Linked DNA regions of Arabidopsis thaliana. The protein of the gene in region 1 interacts with the protein of each later gene in a pairwise test. Each region holds a gene or a part of one and is shown in the gene's direction. Other genes may lie near its edges. The genes, in order: AT4G37220 and AT3G29034.

Region 1 (3,638 bases):
GAAGGTGAAGTTCAGCAAGAGTCCAGCAATGGTGAATCGCTGGCTCCTTCTGTTGTTTCAGGTGACCCAGAGAGACAAGGGAGTTCAAGTGGGCAAGAAGGTATGGATTATTGGGAATTGTCTTAGGTTAAGCTTATGGGTATAGATGCTTCTGCTTCTTTGTTTGCTGACTTCTTTTCTCCCTCATGTATAGGTTCTGGTGGTAAAGACCAAGGAGAGGATGGTGAAGATTGTCAAGATGATGACCTATCTGATGCTGATGGTGATGCTGATGAAGATGAGTCTGATTTGGATATGGCCTGGAAAATGCTGGACATTGCTAGGGTTATTACTGACAAACAGTCTACTGAGACAATGGAAAAAGTGGATATACTCTGTTCGCTTGCTGAAGTGTCCTTGGAAAGAGGTATTTTTTCTTCCTTTCACCTTTGCATTGTCTTATTTTCTCATGTCAGCTATTGGTTGGTTTTGAGTTCTGTTGTTTACTATGCAGAGGACATTGAGTCTTCCCTGTCTGACTACAAGAATGCATTATCCATCTTAGAGAGACTGGTTGAGCCCGACAGTCGACGCACAGCTGAATTGTATCCTTGTGGTTTCTTAAATTGTACCTGATTTTCGTTTCTGTCAATTCAGTTGTTGGATTATATCTTAACTTGAACGTTTCAGAAACTTCCGCATCTGCATTTGTCTTGAGACTGGATGTCAGCCTAAGGAAGCAATACCATATTGTCAAAAAGCTTTGTTAATATGCAAAGCTCGGATGGAGAGGCTCAGTAATGAAATCAAAGGTGCATCTGGTTCAGCAACTTCCTCAACCGTCTCTGAAATAGATGAAGGCATCCAACAATCATCCAATGTTCCTTACATTGATAAATCTGCTTCAGACAAAGAAGTTGAGATCGGAGACTTAGCTGGTCTCGCTGAAGATCTAGAAAAGAAGGCAAGTAAACTAAACCTATCAGTTCATTAAAATATCTCTAAACCCATACTAATGTCCAACATTTTTTTTCTGCAGCTTGAGGATTTAAAACAACAAGCAGAGAACCCAAAGCAGGTTCTTGCTGAGCTAATGGGCATGGTATCAGCTAAGCCAAATGCCAGTGACAAGGTTGTTCCTGCTGCTGCTGAAATGAGCTCTTCTAGGATGGGAACTGTGAACACCAATTTCGGGAAAGATTTAGAGTCGCCTACAGTCTCAACCGCTCATACCGGTGCAGCAGGAGGAGGAGCAGCATCAGGTGTTACTCACTTGGGTGTTGTTGGAAGAGGAGTGAAGAGAGTTTTGATGAATACAACCTCGATTGAATCAAGTGCATCAAAGAAACCAGCTCTAGAGTTTTCAGACAAAGCAGATGGCAACTCCTCTTGAAACCGGAAAAAGGTATAAAAATTCCTGTTACTAGTGAAGTATCTAACCTAAGAAAACTGAGAAAAACATTTGGTATCTTCCTCATGAATCTTCCAAGACTAGATTTTCAGGTTCATGTTTTGTAATGGAGTCCGTACTTGCTACTTTTTTAAATCGCTGAGATATTTTTTACTTTTTATTCTTGTTTAATCAGTCTTATTTTTTCAAAGTGTTTTTTAGTTTAGGCACAAAAGCAGAATCTTATTATCACATTATCAGTTGATAATCATCTGATGAGAAATAGTTCTTTGGAGATCTTTTAGGGAATTTTATAAGTAATAATTAAGGGATAATTGGATATCCTTTATTAAAAAATGTAGGCTACTTGTAGAATTAAAAACTGGAATCTTATAATATGATTAGTATAATAAGATTACGCTATATCTGGATTCTGGAGATATCATAGATAAGCTCTGTCTATGAAAACGAGACCCTTGGGGAAGCCACGTGTCAAATCTATCTCTGTCACCAGCGAAGCCTACGTGGCGAGCAGCTCCTAGAATATCCAAATTCACAACAGTATTTTTTTTTCTTTCGTTCTGATTCAACAGTTGTCACAAACAGCCAAGGTGTTTTGTGATTGGTTATAAATACTCTGCTATGTGAGAGAGTTTACTACATTCACAAACAAACTAAAACTTAAAAATGGGAAGGGGTGAGTTTTTGGCCATGAAGACTGAGGAGAACGCGGCTAACCTGATCAATTCCGATATGAATGAGTTCGTCGCCGCTGCAAAGAAGCTCGTGAAAGACGTAGGGATGCTCGGCGGGGTAGGTTTTGGCACGTCAGTCCTCCAATGGGCCGCTTCAATCTTCGCTATGTGAGCCAAAAGACAAAACCATATAACCTCTCTGGTTTTTGTTTGAATCATATATTGATATGATGGTTCTTATTGTTTTGCTTTGACAGTTATCTGTTGATATTGGATCGTACCAACTGGAAAACCAAAATGTTGACCACCCTTTTAGTACCATACATCTTTTTCACACTTCCTTCGGTTATCTTCCAGTTCTTTAGGTAATCAAGAAAAACTGTTCTTTAACATGATGTTATGGAGTTCTTTTGAAAATATAATCCATATTCGATATAATTTCACAGCGGAGACTTTGGGAAATGGATTGCTCTCATCGCGATCATAGTCAGGCTTTTCTTCCCTAAAGAATTTCCAGGTCAGAACCAGCAGTTTTCATGACTTAACATTAGTTTGAAACTTTGATCTTGAAAATCTTCTTTCTTTTTTGCATATAAATGTAGAGTGGCTAGAGATTCCGGTAGCATTGATTCTTATTGTGGTGGTGTCGCCGAGCCTTATAGCTTGGACACTAAGAGAAAGCTGGGTTGGAGCAGTCATATGTCTAGTAATAGCATGTTACCTTTTCCATGAACACATTAAAGCTTCAGGTGGATTCAAAAACTCTTTTACTCAAAAGAATGGAATCTCCAATACCATTGGGATCGTTGCCCTCCTCGTTTACCCGGTTTGGACCATCTTCTTTCACATCTTTTAAGTCAATCCGACCCATTGGTTTGTAGACACATTCAACATTTTGTGTCTTCAATTCGTTTTCAAGGTTTGAATTTTATAAGGAGCATTTGTGTTTGAGAAAGTCTTGAATATAAAAAAGAAGTTTCAATCGTGCACTGCTGACTTGTAAGATTGTTTTTTTTTTCTTGTAAATGTGTGACTTGTAAGATATATAAATAAATTTGCATATTGGTTGATTTGTTGAATCAATCTTGAATATTGTAGACTTTTTAATTGATCATGACTAATAGTTGTTTTTTGAAAATTGTTTTTCATTTCATTAACACCAAACAATAAAGCAACACAAATTTCTATCACCTCCTAGCATTGAACTACGTGCCGTTGTTCGTATCCAAAAGTGTATATTCTTGTAATCATTCACCGTCAAAGCTCAAGTAGTTAGTAGCACCACACCAGATTTCCAAAGCACAAAGCTCATGACTAGCCTTACCTACACACTCGATGAAATCGAAGGCCCTTTCGAAGTTGATTACGCAGCAGTGACAGTACACAACTTCCTGGTGGGGAGCGTGTACCGTTCTTGTTCACGATCAAGCAGCTCGTGGCATCGCAGAGGATACTTTGGTCCCAAGTCGATCCCTTCAGCATTCACCCAAGGCCACGTTGGAAATAAATCTGATCGTAAAACACAACATCTGCAGATTATTATCAATAAAAATTCAGAAATCAATAAAATTCAC
Region 2 (3,376 bases), on another chromosome or scaffold:
TCTATATTACTACTTATATTGAAATATAGTGGTGTATAAGGAAAATTTAAATAAATTGATTTGGTCATATATGTTATTAAAATGCACTATTTTTTTTTTTTGATTAAAAATCTAAAGAAAACTCTAAAGTTAAGCGCATTTAAAGTAAAGCAAACTTATGATGGGTGATTAACCGTGAATCGATTGTTAGTTCGTATGAGTGAAAACAAACACAAGAAAAAGATTATATGGTGAATTATAGAATCAGTAAACAAATATTTAAGCTTCCAGAAAAATGAACTGTCAGACGAGATTGGCCCATATACCGAGAAAAAACGTTTGGTCCATGAAAAGTGGTGGTCGTCGTCTCGTTACAGTTACGATGGATGATTTCTATGGATCTGAATGGTCACCGCGGTTTTTAGTGTACGGAGAAAGTATTATGACCGTGCAGTACGAATTAACTGCGGTAAGTGCGTGAAAAATATATTTGTGGGACAATTGTGGTTTGTACAAAATAAGCAGTACGGAATAATGTTTGATTGGTGAAAAATCTATTTGTGGTGCGGATTATAGATTATATATATATAAATATATATATTAATCATTATTTATTTTTTGTGTTAATAAATAAACAATAACATATATTTATAAACCATATACACAAATAAATCAAAATATACATTTTAAAGTTTAACATACATATTATTAAATCCGTTGAATAGTTTCATTATGGAAAATTAAAAAAAAAATCATTTTTACAAGTAATTTTTTTACAAGTAAATTGATTATAGAACGTATATAAGCTTATAGTAGATAATAATTGTCAAAATTTCTAAAAGCATTGTTATGTTTCTATTTCCTGTAATTGCATTTTCATAGTTTTTAATTAAATAAAACAAACTAGCTAAGACTGGTCTTTATCTCTTTCTTTGTACCCGGTTTATCCGGTTTAGTTTCCTCTATTATTGAAATCAACATTGGCACAAAAATAATAATATAAACAGCTGTTAAAAAATTAATTGATCTCTTTGTTGGAATGCACTTTTACTTAAAACCGCTAGGTAAAGAGTTTTTCTTCTTTTGGAAAGCGTTCCAATGTATTGTTCATTTGACAAATTAAATCGCAAACTTTTTTTTTTTCGAAAAACACAAATCAGTTAAAAGTATTGTGATTGGTACGGTATTGTGGTTTTAATCAAAAAAACACAGAAAAAAACGCCTTTTGTAAGTTTTCCAATTAGTCTATGTGTCAAGGTACATCTTTTATTTTTATTTTTTAAAGGTACATCTTTATATCTATAAGGGGTTCAGTTTTCTTGCATGCGTTATTCGTACTCCTATAAAACTCCATCATAGGTAAGTAAACAAAACTAAGAAAAGATCTAAGCTCTAAGCTCTGCGTACTTTCCTTCGCTTTATCTTGCCAGTAGCACTAGGCATTTGAAACTATGGAATAAAGCCGTTTTGATCCAACTTAGCAGCAACCAAATTGCAAACGAATAGAAAGAATGGTCAGAAACAAGATTGGTAGGTGGATCCAAGATAGCAAAAATATCTCTTCCTACTCAAGATGCAACAGATAAAAACAAACTTTTGAACCAAGAAAAGTCAATATTATACATTTATTAAGAAATCGAAGAGCAAGAATGCATCTCATTCTCATCCTTTGTGATGTTCTTGGAGTGCACAAGCATTTATTGGGCCAAAACTCCTACGCACATGATAACATGTCTTAGTAGATTTCTTATTGATAATACATGATAACATATCTTATTGTTAATAATATTAATTTAATTCACTGACCTGTTAAAATTTAGACAGAATGGCAATAACTTATATAGTGATAATTATTATTTTTTTATTTTATTTTTTAGACTAACATTATATAAGTGTAAACATGATACATCATATCTAAACTTCAACTCTCACCATTTGCTTTTTTATAACAAAATAGTAATTAAATTAATAATCTTGGATCTATACCGACCACTTACTCTTCTATAAGGAGTTGACTTTTCTGTCTATCAAAAGGCCTCAAAGCAATCCCCAAAAGACCACATTTTTGTCTCCATCATTAACTTATAATTACAAAATCACAACCAAACCAACATCATAAAATCATAATCAGAATCTCTTCATTCATCAAAGAATCTTAAAAATGGTGAGAGAAAGAAGAAAGACGGAGAAAGTAGAAGAGAAACGAGAACAAGAAGTTGTAGATCAAGAAGAGAAGGTGAAGCCGAGGCAAAGAAGCGTGAGCAGAAGAAACATGCAATCTCTGGTCATCGGACTCGTTGGAGGTGCGTTAACCCTCGGTGCTTATTCTCAGACATATGTTGATCCGGGCAAGTCTATTGGCGCTGGCCTCTTTGTCCTCTTCTTTGGCTTGCTTGTCAGTGAAGGTTTCATCTCTCTTTAAATAACAATATTTCTGTATAAGCAAATCAAACCTTCTTCTTTTGTTTATGTATATGACAAATATACATATCTATGAGCATCTTGTTTCATTTATATTTTATTTCACTTGTTGGATCTTGGACTTTTGATTAAAGTGACGAACACTATATTGTTTTTACGGATTATTGTTTATTTTTGGCTTGTAAGAATATGTTTTGATCTTTGATACAAATTTGAAAGAAAAGGATGCAACAATGTAATTTTGATCCTTGATAATATGTATGTCACGCAAGTAATATGAACGGAATGATACTCTTCAACATATTGGGCTAAAGTTGACTTTCTTTGGGGTACAAAAAGTTGACTTTGACTTGGTACATGTCTTAGCTGTAAATTAAGGAAAAGAAACTAAATTTGATGTAAAACATGTAATAAAATAAATCATGATAGTCATATACATATTGAACAAATCAACGCTATCTAAAATGTATACTTAAAATATTTCACATATTACCACAAAGAATATATATAATTACAAATATTATTTCTGCAGTAACTTAACTAAATAAAAACGATCATCACCTATCTTTCTATTTATTTTTATATAATATAATTAGATACTTAGCAACGTTACGTGTATAGTATTTAATAAATCATTACCACCTTCGACTACATTATCAAAATGAAACACCATTACACAACGACGATCGTGAGGAAATGTCCGGGCCGTATATAATTTTGCGTTAGATTCGTTATTGGGTCGCTTTAATTTGACTTCTTATGTGTTTTTTATTTTATGATAAATATTTTTTTAAAATTTCCATCAGACACTTGACTTTGTAAATATACACAATTTCTTTATGTATACAATATATATGCTAATGCCATCAGTCTCATAACATAAGGACTTAGGAAACATCATTTTCATATGCTGTGTTTGAACTTAAAAACATGATTGACTATCATTCTATCAAATTAAGAAAAGCATTATACATTT

What was found.
Region 2: the proteins of AT4G37220 (region 1) and AT3G29034 interact in a protein complementation assay, tested with the Arabidopsis thaliana proteins (one large-scale study listed by BioGRID).

The regions. Positions count from the first base shown.
Region 1 is NC_003075.7:17,513,050-17,516,687, forward strand, and holds AT4G37220 (Cold acclimation protein WCOR413 family), read left to right. Parts: upstream 1-1,992; 5' UTR 1,993-2,056; coding exon 2,057-2,232; intron 2,233-2,321; coding exon 2,322-2,429; intron 2,430-2,510; coding exon 2,511-2,581; intron 2,582-2,666; coding exon 2,667-2,920; 3' UTR 2,921-3,113; downstream 3,114-3,638. Other genes in the region: AT4G37210 (Tetratricopeptide repeat (TPR)-like superfamily protein), read left to right, coding at 1-100, 194-406, 494-584, 670-943, 1,019-1,372; AT4G37230 (Photosystem II manganese-stabilising protein (PsbO) family), read left to right, coding at 3,375-3,579.
Region 2 is NC_003074.8:11,029,368-11,032,743, reverse strand, and holds AT3G29034 (uncharacterized protein), read left to right. Parts: upstream 1-1,837; 5' UTR 1,838-2,140; coding exon 2,141-2,401; 3' UTR 2,402-2,709; downstream 2,710-3,376.